Linked DNA regions of Oryzias latipes. The protein of the gene in region 2 interacts with the protein of the main gene of each other region in a pairwise test. Links are inferred from orthologs where the notes say so. Each region holds a gene or a part of one and is shown on either strand. Other genes may lie near its edges.

The links.
Region 1: the proteins of liprin-alpha-1 (region 2) and fam161a interact in binary tests that used the Homo sapiens proteins (3 or more experiments, as listed by UniProt). The link is inferred for Oryzias latipes from reciprocal best matches to the Homo sapiens genes PPFIA1 and FAM161A.
Region 3: the proteins of liprin-alpha-1 (region 2) and ccnh interact in binary tests that used the Homo sapiens proteins (3 or more experiments, as listed by UniProt). The link is inferred for Oryzias latipes from reciprocal best matches to the Homo sapiens genes PPFIA1 and CCNH.

The regions. Positions count from the first base shown.
Region 1 is NC_019859.2:4,112,924-4,116,925, forward strand, and holds the start of fam161a (protein FAM161A), read left to right. Parts: upstream 1-1,202; 5' UTR 1,203-1,373; coding exon 1,374-1,529; intron 1,530-1,922; exon of another isoform or gene 1,923-2,265; coding exon 2,266-2,534; intron 2,535-4,002. Other genes in the region: cct4 (T-complex protein 1 subunit delta), read left to right, coding at 1-20, 93-206, 284-298. UniProt on the Homo sapiens protein: Involved in ciliogenesis.
Region 2 is NC_019861.2:2,121,644-2,125,143, reverse strand, and holds part of liprin-alpha-1, read right to left. Parts: intron 1,665-3,500; coding exon 1,563-1,664; intron 1,375-1,562; coding exon 1,210-1,374; intron 1,114-1,209; coding exon 1,039-1,113; intron 1-1,038. UniProt on the Homo sapiens protein: May regulate the disassembly of focal adhesions. May localize receptor-like tyrosine phosphatases type 2A at specific sites on the plasma membrane, possibly regulating their interaction with the extracellular environment and their association with substrates.
Region 3 is NC_019867.2:14,756,282-14,760,512, forward strand, and holds the start of ccnh (cyclin-H), read right to left. Parts: upstream 2,801-4,231; 5' UTR 2,622-2,800; coding exon 2,505-2,621; intron 2,406-2,504; coding exon 2,283-2,405; intron 2,205-2,282; coding exon 2,131-2,204; intron 1,947-2,130; coding exon 1,733-1,946; intron 1,659-1,732; coding exon 1,495-1,658; intron 1,211-1,494; coding exon 1,140-1,210; intron 1,043-1,139; coding exon 937-1,042; intron 810-936; exon of another isoform or gene 1-809. UniProt on the Homo sapiens protein: Regulates CDK7, the catalytic subunit of the CDK-activating kinase (CAK) enzymatic complex. CAK activates the cyclin-associated kinases CDK1, CDK2, CDK4 and CDK6 by threonine phosphorylation.

The DNA of each region.
Region 1 (4,002 bases), on a different chromosome or scaffold from region 2:
CCGGCATCAACGTCCGCAAGGTCGGCGTGCTTTCCTTTTGCTCCGTCTGTGCGCGGTTGACAGCTTGACAGATTTATTTATTTTTTGGACAGGGGGGGATTTCAAACATCTTGGAGGAGCTGGTGGTGCAGCCCGTGCTGGTTTCCATCAGCGCGTTGACTCTGGCCACAGAAACGGTCCGTAGCATCCTCAAGATCGATGACGTGGTAAGACTCAGAACTGGATTCCCTTTTTCATTTTACAGAAGTATGATTGGAAATTAATTTTTGTGTTCTGGTTCCAGGTGAACACTCGATAGGTCTGTCCGGTTTCTGAAGCCCGTTTGTTCTGCGAGGGATCAGAGCATCACGTCGACAGCAGTCTGCTCCGATTTCTGCTGTAGTTATTGCATTGCCTAATTTAATAAAAGGCTGTGGGGTTTTTTTTGTTGACACTGCTGCCTCTTTTTGTCTTTCTTTCTTTGTCTTTGTCTTTATGTTGCACTAAAGTGTAGTACACAGATTTAGAAACATGTTCTGGTCTTCATTTTTTTTAAATTGTATGTCTTGAAAACCGCTAATTTGAAAAAAGTATGTGAAATATTAACGCAGAGTTAACACGTATTTACCAAATAATTTCTGCAGCATGAAAAGATGCATAAAATCTGGTTTCTAGTACTTATCAGACTAATGGTAACATTATAAAACATGACCTAAATGTAAAATGTTGATTTGCTGTTATAAAATAAGGTTTTCTCTTGATTAAAGAGTAATGACAGATCTTTATTTGTCATTGTCACGCATACAATAGAATTTAAAGTGATTCCTGGTCAGTCTAACACTCATACCTTAAAAAAAATTAGACTCCAGGCGCCGGTGCCTCTGACCTCATGCTCATCCAAGACGTGGACGGTGCTGCTTTTCTATAGAATTGGTTAAAAATGTAAAATCTTTAGATAGAATTTTTGTGTGTCTTCAAAAATTGGGTGATGATCATGGCCTGGTTCAAAAAAAAAGTCCTGCTTCTATGCAAAATAAATTCAATGCATAAGTAATTTTATTATTTGAATTAAGATACTTTTTTTTATTTAAGTAGCCGTTTTCATTCAATTAATCAAATAAGAAAAAAATATATACATTTTAATGGTCAGAACCTGTGTTTACTCGATTCATTTTAAGCGTTCAGTTTAAAAATGTACACGTTTCCAACGCTTTTATTTTGTATCAGAGCTTTGTTCTTTGCTTCCGTTTTACGTCACTTCCTTCCTAACGATGCTTCTCCGTTGCTAAGAAGCCAGCCAACCTGACAACGACTGTTCCCTCCGGGGAACGAACTAAGTAACAGAACCTCATCAAGGCGCTTTTTTAAAAAAAAAAAACTGTTTCAACAAAAAGATGGCGAATCCTCACCGGACGAACGTTTTATTAACTTCCTGTCTGAAGGCGCCGGTGGACCCGCACACCAAGGCGCCGCTTGCGTCATACGAGCGCGGGGCAGTCCTAACGCACGCGACTGCAGGCCAGCTGGACAACCGGGACTATGAGAAAGAGGTAAACACATGTTTAAAAATATTTCACAATAAAAGTCACACTTTCAAAATAATAATCTTTCTAAAAATAGTTAAGACAACTCTGTATTTATTGAGATATATAGAAACTTTGTATACACTTTAGATTGGAGGTTGTTATACTATATTTTATTTATTTATTTATTTATTACAATGTGAAGGTGGGTGAAGCTGTTGTTTTCCTGTAGTCTGAGTGCAGCTCCCTCTGACCTGAGACAGGTTATGTCCAGTTAACAGGATGTTGACAGTTTCAGGTCAGCCAGGTGGAAGGGATTTGATCTGTCATTTGTTGTCCCGTCTATTTTTGGATTTCTGTCTTCACTAGATTACCAGAAGTCTTGTTGGGTCGGTAATCTCTTTTATATCCTTTTAACAGCAATGACCTTCTGTGGAAAAAACACCTCGTAGCAAGTTGGTCTAATTTTCAGAAACGCTTCTGACAAACATCCTTTTTAATGGAGGCCGGACACTTTAGGAGGAGTAGATGTCAGCGGAGCTCCTTCATGCTGAGCTCACCTTTGTGTTCCAACCATATGGCTCTGATCATTGTGACTGCAGGATAATGAGCTTAGTCCTGAAGACCTTACTGCCCCTCAACAGGGCAGCAGTGTTCTTTAGGGCATAGAAGTGAAAACAAACTTTTAATAAATTCATGTAGGAAGCCTTCAAATACCTGTTAATTAACATGATGATCCTTGAGTGACCTTTGGGCATTTCAGCTGGAGTTTTGGGACTCGGGCTCGGATTTCTGTGATGAGGACTGTCTGGGGATGGGAGGAGCTCACGTGGGGGGCAGCTTCAGGGCAGCCGTCGACCGCCTGGACCTGAGTGAAATCTTCTTCTCCAATGAGGAATACTACAGCAAGCTGGAGGAGCTGAAGAGGGCCCACGAACGCACCATGGCAGAGCTGGAAAGCATGTACCAGCAGAAGCTGCAGCTCAGGTCCGGTGAAGCTTTTGATATGAAGGCCCTGGATATCGGTCACAGGTCAGTTGGGCCGGATTAAAGGAATTTCTTTGACAGTTTAACACTAATTTTGCAAACCGAGACTATTGTTGTTGTTTTTTTATTTTATATATTAACCATATTTTCACTGAGATTAAGGGACTTTGATTATGAGATATTCATTCCTGCAGAAATAAAATAAAATAATTAGCTCAGCTGCCTACAATTGAACATGTTTTAGGGTTGCTTTTAAGAATAAAAAACAAATTACCTGGAAAGCTTAAAGATTTCCTCTTTAAATTTTTTATTGTTCGCATGTCCATTTCTTTTTTAGATTATACTGTCATGCATGGAAGAAAGCTTCGGCCTATCTTATGCATGTTTTGCAGGATTCAACCATTGACTGTAAATGAGAACTGAACTGAGTGACCCCTCCCTCCTGGCGTCCCAAACAGGCCAAAATCGCATAGACTTCTATAGAGAAATAAACAGAAGTTCTTCAGTCATTCTATTTTTCAGAATAACTATTCTTGCTCTGAAACCTTTTTTTTTAAAGACCCACTTCTATGAAAACTGTGATTTTCATAGAAAATCACAGTTTTGTGGTGTTTTTAACATGTTCTTATGGCATTTTTCTGAAGATGGAGGACAACTTTGAAGAGAATTAAGGTTATAATTGCATTTCTGAGTATTTCTTTATTCAAATTGCTGTGAATCAGGAGCAGATGAGACAAAAAACAGTTTGAAAAAGAGGATATTTGTGATGTAGAAAATACGCTGGGTGGGCCAAAAGCTCCCTGCTCCATTCTGAGCTGGAATCTGGATCTAGACTGTACGGTTGAAGAGCTTCACCATCATCCACAGTAATGTTAGGTTGGGGGTGTAAGGGCCTGAAAGGTAGCGAGAGAGAGTGTAAACAGAGAACTCTCTGCTGTGGGTGACAGACGTCATCTTTAGCTTAACCCCTAACCCAAAACTCAGAGGTGAATTTCTAATGAACTCCTGCCACTCTGCAGAAACTTTTAGCCAAAAAAAAATTATTTTGGCTAAAAACAGCATAATCATAATTGAAAGACCACTGGGAATGCTCTAAAAATCAAAAGATTATCATAATTCTCAATAATCTTAGTTCTTTCATGATATTTTTTCTGTTGTAAAGGTTATTCAAGCTATAAGCTGACCCATCAGATGCCTCAATAAAATTCAGCGGCCAAAGTTTTGTAAACTTGATTGACAGGTGGTAGAAATGTGGACTTCCAACAGTACCGATTGGTGAGAGTTGTCGCCATAGAAATGCAGGGGTCCAATTTGGACATATCACTGCTGACTCCAACACGGTGGTGTCTGTATCGCAAAAAACAGACGACTGAATTGATTACATTTTGTTGGAGCCATAAGTAAACCATTTTCCATGGGTGACGTCACATTCACTCAGTCCAGTTCTCATATACAGTCAATGGTTTTAAGTAATTGGCTTTGGGCGGGGTTTAGTCTGTGCTCGAGGTGGGTC
Region 2 (3,500 bases):
GCTCAACGCTGGGCTCTGTAATGTTACAAGAGCCAGCAGAAAGTGTCTGTTATTATATTTATAAAATACAGTTTTTATTAATGTTCTATGAATTCTTTTTGTGGCATTTATCCTCCACGTCTTAAAGTTCGCTCTGTGAAAATATGGTCTGACTTTAAACCGGTCCGTGATCAGATGTAGGCGACACACAGCAATAAAGCATCTGAGTATTTTAGCATGATAGCATGGTTGCATGATAGCATGGTAGCATCAGTGTCACCACATCGCTGTCTCCATATCAACCCTCTTCCCTAAACATTCTGTTGCTGCTGTAAGTCCAGCAGGGACACACACAAAAAGGGCTTATTCCTATTATTGTTGTTTGGTCTTATATGTGTGTTTGATAGTAACAATTGTTTCTTTATTGTGCAACTGAATGTGAATTTCTGTAAATTGAAAAATGTGCAATAAAGGTTATTGAGAGAAAAAAATTCTCCTCTAGGTCTTTCTGGAGCCTGGTACAAACCCTCACATGTTCTGCTGCTTCATCGGGTTAAACTAAAAGCAGAGGCAACTAGCAGAAGTTATGGGGTAAGGGGCAATTCTCGCGGTTCCTGTGCTTGTTTTTTTTTCCCCTCTGCCTCACAAAAGGCATTAAACCTCACATAAATCAGCCTTTGGTCCCTCACAAGGGTGGCTGGTGCAGGCATCAAAAACATGAGGGACAAAGAAACATCACACAAAGTTCTTTATGAGATTCATTTCAACGCATTTGTATAAAGCTCAAATGGCCTCACAGCATTTACTAACCTGGTGTGACATGATTTCTGCAAAGTCTGACTGAAGCGATCTCAGATAACATCTGGAACCTGCTATATGTACCACAGTCCTCGGATGAAGGACATCAGGTAGATTCATGCATGAACAAACAGCCTCTGAGCTCTTGAGACTTCAATAAATACTAAACAAAGTCCAGTGTAGCCGCACTTCTTCTAACTTGGAGCCGAAACACCCCGTTTACATCCTAAGCCCCAAACAGAGTTTGTAGTGTTTACTCACTTCTTTGTGTGAAATGGCGAGTTCTTCCTCCAAAGCGCTGCATCGCTCCAGAGCAACACGAAGACGCTCTCTTACCTTCAAAGGTGGAACATAAACCTTTTTAACTTCATTCATCCTTATCAAGCACAGTATTCTACCAGGAGCTGTTGGACATTCCCTACAAAAACACACCTTCTCATCAAGGGCTTTGTGGTGTTCAAAAAGTGACTTGAGAGCCTTGAGGACCTCCACCTCGCTGGAGACACCAGCAGGAGACTGAGCCTGCCTCTTCACCACGGTCATCCTCAGACTGCGCTCGTGACGCGACACCAGGCACTCCAGGTGTTCCAGCAGGAGCTGCACACACCACAGACAGGGAGGACCAGAGTGAAGCCTCGCTCCTGCTCTCAAACTACACATTTTGGAAACCATGAACTGTTTTTTGTCTCCATAAGATTTGTTGTCAATGTTAAACAGTAAAAGAGTTTTTGTTTTGACAACTGTTGCTAGCTAGATCCAAGGAAAAAGGTGTGCATCTCACTCACCCGGGTGTTGTTCCTCTCCGCCTTCAACTCGGCGATCTCCTCCTCTTTCTCCAGAAGCTGCTCCCGGCACACGTTCACCTCCTTTGTTAGTGCAGCAAACTCCTAAAGAAGCATGAAGCACAAAGAGAACAGGGGGCATGCAGCCGTTACTGATGCGCTGTGCACCGTGAGGCTTCATGGCGGAGAAACCCTCCGCTCTCATGTAAACACAGACAGACATTTCAATCACAGCAGAACTCTGGCATCATAGGAAACCCAGAAATACAGAGAGCACTGCAGAGAAGGTTTCACTAACTCAGAGAAGGTTTCACTAACTCAGATAATGTGTCACTAGCTCAGAGAAGGTTTCACTAACTCAGAGAAGGTTTCTCTAACTCAGAAAAGGTTTCACTAACTCAGAGAATGTGTCACTAGCTCAGAAAAGGTTTCACTAACTCAGAGAAGGTTTCTCTAACTCAGAAAAGGTTTCTCTAACTCAGAAAAGGTTTCACTAACTCAGAGAATGTGTCACTAGCTCAGAGAAGGTTTCTCTAACTCAGAAAAGGTTTCACTAACTCAGAGAATGTGTCACTAGCTCAGAGAAGGTTTCTCTAACTCAGAGAAGGTTTCTCTAACTCAGAAAAGGTTTCTCTAACTCAGAAAAGGTTTCTCTAACTCAGAAAAGGTTTCACTAACTCAGAGAATGTGTCACTAGCTCAGAGAAGGTTTCTCTAACTCAGAGAAGGTTTCTCTAACTCAGAAAAGGTTTCTCTAACTCAGAAAAGGTTTCACTAACTCAGAGAATGTGTCACTAGCTCAGAGAAGGTTTCTCTAACTCAGAAAAGGTTTCACTAACTCAGAGAATGTGTCACTAGCTCAGAGAAGGTTTCTCTAACTCAGAGAAGGTTTCTCTAACTCAGAAAAGGTTTCTCTAACTCAGAGAAGGTGTCTCTAACTCAGAGAAGGTTTCTCTAACTCAGAGAAGGTTTCTCTAACTCAGAGAAGGTTTCTCTAACTCAGAGAAGGTTTCTCTAACTCAGAGAAGGTTTCTCTAACTCAGAGAAGGTTTCTCTAACTCAGAGAAGGTTTCTCTAACTCAGAGATGGTTTCTCTAACACAGAGAAGGTTTCTCTAACTCAGAGAAGGTGTCTCTAACTCAGAGAAGGTTTCAGTAACTCAAAGGAAGATTTCATTAACTCAGAGAATGTGTCACTAGCTCACAGAAGGTTTCACTAACTCAGGGAAGGTTTCACTAACTCAGGGAAGGTTTCACTAACTCAGGGAAGGTTTCACTAACTCAGGGAAGGTTTCACTAACTCAGGGAAGGTTTCACTAACTCAGAGAAGGTTTCTCTAACTCAGAGAAGGTTTCACTAACTCAGGGAAGGTTTCACTAATTCAGAGAAGGTGTCACTAACTCAGGGAAGGTTTCACTAACTCAGGGAAGGTTTCACTAACTCGGGGAAGGTTTCACTAACTCAGGGAAGGTTTCACTAACTCAGAGAAGATTTCACTAACTCAGAGAAGTATCACTAACTCAGAAAAGGTTTCACTAACTCAGGGAAGCTTTCACTAACTCAGGGAAGGTTTCACTAACTCAGAGAAGGTGTCACTAACTCAGGGAAGGTTTCACTAACTCAAGGAAGGTTTCACTAACTCAGAGAAGGTTTCACTAACTCAGGGAAGGTGTCACTAACTCAGGGAAGGTTTCACTAACTCAGGGAAGGTTTCACTAACTCAGAGAAGGTTTCACTAACTCAGGGAAGGTGTCACTAACTCAGGGAAGGTTTCACTAACTCAGGGAAGGTTTCACTAACTCAGGGAAGGTTTCACTAACTCAGAGAAGGTTTCACTAACTCAGGGAAGGTTTCACTAACTCAGAGAAGGTTTCACTAACTCAGGGAAGGTTCCACTAACTCAGAGAAGGTTCCACTAACTCAGAGAAGGTTTCACTAACTCA
Region 3 (4,231 bases), on a different chromosome or scaffold from region 2:
AAAGAAACGAATCAACACAAGCCTTAACTCCATTTCTGCTCACCGACATCCCCCGATTCGACAAAGTTCTCTTCTTCCAAACTATTTATATCCGTTACTGTCTTCATGTATGAACCTGCTTACAGCACCCAAACCACTTCCTGCTTTTTTTCTACGCTGCTTTTGTCTGTTATTACCTACTTAGGCTTGTAAAGAAGTGTTTGTGTAGGATATAGCGGAGCAGAGATTAGTCTAAAGGTTTGTAGTATACACCTGTAGCCTGCCTTGTGCATGCATTAACCCTGAATGGATACAGCGACAATGTTTGGGCCTACGTATCTGCTGCTCCAACAACCATCACCTAAACCCCTTTTATGCCTTTGATGTCATTGAAAGCCTGGATTTCTTGTAGCTCCTCGTTTCTCCGCCATTACAACAAGATGGCGTTTTTGCTTTGTCCTCCGAGTACACCTCTGCTCTGACTGTTTTTCCCACCGATTCACCCTGAAAAGTCCCGCCATGCAGCGATTTCTAAACTTCAAAGTCATAAAGGGTCGGCTTTGTTTGCCTCCCTTCATGTTCTAAGCAGCTGCAACGTCTGGATCTGTGCCTGTCATAGTTTACCAAACTGTTTACTGTAGTTGCACTTGAAGATACCACGGACCTCACCGAGTGTTGGCAGATGAGCCCAGGCGACTCATCGGCTGTACCACTGATGTAGGGGTTTCATACAACAGACGAGGATGTGTTCATTTTTATTTTTCTACCCAATACTGAACCTTTTGCATCTTAGATACAACAACCTGGCTGAAATAAACGGTTACTACATACGCGTGGATTGTTGTTCTCGGTCGCTATTGTTGTGGGTAAATAATGCAGCAGGAATCACAGATTGACAATGTTTAAAGATTGAAATCCTGACTTAAAAGAGCTCATGTGTGTTTTTATGTTTCTTACTTGCTTGAACTGCTAAACTCTGCATGAATCCTCTCCAGCTTCTGTTTGTAAACGTTCACCTCCTCTGCTTTGGGGAGCTCATACTTCTTGAGGAGGCTTTTTGTTCCTGCATGTGCCAAACGCATGAATTCAAAACATCATACAGGAATAACAGCACAACTCTGCCATCTAGTGGTGTTACACTGAAGTGCAAGTTGACTTACGCCTCATTAAGTCGAAAATCTTTGAGAGGGAATCTTTGTCGTCTTTCAGTCCCAAGCACTCAGTCAGGTAGCTGGGGAAGGAAAATAAAATAGGATTTTAGTTTTAAAAAATATATATAAGAAAAAAACTTTTTTGCACCAACTGAGCTTATAATTTAGAAATATCTGAAAAGGAGGAAATGTTCAGAGAATTTTCTTCAAAATATTTGTCACCACCTTCATTTGATCAATTTCTTTCCAGAATAATGTATACCTTTTCCATTTAAATTCCAAGTTTCAACTTGCAAAACCTAATTTGTTTTTCTAATTAAGTTGAATTTCACATACATTGTTGTTAAGGCTAAAGCAAACCTGCCTTTCCATGCTGAGGCCAGCTCTTAAAGCGCTATTCAGAATAGCTGTCAGAGCGATCTGAGAGGGAGAACACAGCAGTCCGGCATCCGTCATGACCGCCTGGGTCAGAAAGTCATCAGCACTCTTCCTCAGTGACTCTGGGTTCTCCAGTGCAGGATAGCGAGTCTAAAAGACAAAGAACACGGATTAAAAACTGGCGATCTGGAGTGACATTCAGCTCTCTTCTGTAAGGTACAAACCTTGAGGTCGATGAGCAAACCCTCTAGCGGTCTGTAGGGGTTGTGGACCACGAGATGAAAACTGAGTTGTTGGATTAACAGCAGTTCATACTCCAGGATTTGCTGAAGAACCCGTTCTTGTCCAGCTGGCGTCTCATGCAGGAGATTGCCCACAAACTGGGTGCTGGACACGTTGAACTCGTCCACTTTGCAGGCCAGGTATGCACACGTCAGCCTGGACAAGAAGGTACGTCAACAGCTGGAAACGTACATGCATGTTTGTAATATATGAACAAACGGAATCGTTCCCATCTTCCTGCAGAAACATCACATTTGCATTTAAACTTTTAGAATGAACCATTCGCATCTTTGAACCGAATGTTTAATGTCTTATCCTTTCCACAGTGACAGTCACTGACATGATGATCCTTGGGTGGTGCTCCATAACAGAGTTGTTGAGGTAGAACCTCCGGAAGTACATGATGGCAGTGCCCTAGAAAAAAAGATGGGCTCCAGTAAGAGTTAGTCGAGTCTGTACACATGAAAAAAAAGAAATGAGACACACACGCACCACAACAGACTTGGGCATTGGAGGCTTAAAAGCGCTGCAGAAGTCCAGGAGTCTCCTCTCATAATGGCGGAATAAAACGTCTTCTTCGTTCCGTTTCAAGAACATGGACTCATACATACCTGCCTGATTTCAAATAAATGTTTAATTAAAAAAGAAAATCGCGTTTTTCCCCCAAACCGTTTACATTAAACGTTTTAAAATGCTTAAAAGAATGTTACCTACCTTCCCACTTTCTATGACTTTTTTACGAAATGCCTCATTGGCACTGCATCTTTTCTGCTCAAGTTCAGCCTCACTTTTGAAGATCCAGTACTTTCGCTGAGAGCTGTTGTGATACATGGCGGCTTCTGATTTACGAGAGCTAAAACCACAACATAATCCTAAAGTAGCTTTATGTATTTTACCACACGGAAATCCTTGAACGATTAAAGTAATCAGCGTAGTGTAAAAGTAGTTAAATCGGGCTGTGTGTTGTTCACCCCCAAGTAGTAGTGAGGACGTCGCGCGATATTTACGTAATGCGGACCCTTGTTGATGACGCATTTACCGTGCTTCCTGTATTAGTGCGTGCTATGATTTTTCCTTATGAAATACTCAATTTCTCATTTTATTTAAACTTATTTATAATTATGTTTCTTTAATATAAAGTTAACAAAATGTTGAAGTGTACACATTTTTACCTCACTTATTTTTAACGGCATGAATTGGACAAACAAATTGTTGAGGTGGAAAGCAATTATTTTTCTGTAAATATTGACCTTTAAGTCTTTCCTCCTAAACAAAATCAGAATAATTAAATGTAATGGACTCACTGATGTGCACACAATCATTTTGAAACATAATTTAAAGTACAAACATCCTTGTTTATTTTTTTTGCTATTGTAACATTGTACCAGTGTAGATGGTCTCCAACAGACTCAGAAAGTATGTTTTAGCCAGAGCCACTCCGCCACCAGTAGTGTTTCTGCATACCGTAATTTGCATAAACATGAGTAATTTATGAATAATAAATGCCCTAGCATTCAGCTGGAGCTGATAATTTGCATATCAGTGCCGCCTTAGTGCCGTGTTATCATGAAGCCCTTCAAGCCTGCATAAACCAAAATCAAAGAAATAGTGCTTTAACAGGTATGTGCTGAAGACTTTTTTTTTTTTTTTTTTTTAAGAAATAACACTAATCTTTCCACAGGCGTAGAGACGCGGCGCGTGCGTCTGAGCTGACAGACAAACGCCTTATTACGTGCGGTGCAGTTGCTGCGAGCACGGCTCTCGCCCGTATATACATGGCTCGGGTTGCCCTGAGAATTGCATAAACATGAAGCGCTGATGCATTATTGATGACACCTTTGCAGCGTTTACTGTATGTTTGCGCACTCGTCTGCTCACGTGCACACGCACGTCCATGCGCCCTTCTGTCTGCGTGTGCGTGCACGATTGCTGTTGACAGTCAGGCACCTTTCCACCTGCTATTTCGCATCATTTGGGGTGTGATGACTCATTTGAAGCCTTTAGTCTTGTGTTACATCTTTGTCACGTTTTTTTTCTTTTTTCTTGACTGCTTTCTTTAAATGTTGAACTCTGCAGAATGACTCTTATTCTTTGAATGTGAGCACACTGCAGTTGATTGTTCTGTGTGTGAGTATCTGGTGGTTTAGAATATTTTTTATCAAAGGAATACCATCTTGTGAGTAAATCTAAATCATACGGAGTCTGACAGGCAGCATTTTAATGGAAAATCAGACTTCGGCATTACCAGATCACACATTAGAGCTGCCTGATTAAGTTAGTCCCATCCCATAATCGGCCCTCCCGTCAGTATTTCAGCAGCTTATAGAAGCATTCCCAGATATTTTGCAAAGTTATGGAAAGATTGACAGTGCAGACGAGGCTAAAGGAAAAACCTCCACAGCTCTGATCAATAAGCTCATGTTTTGAAAATTTGTTTCATC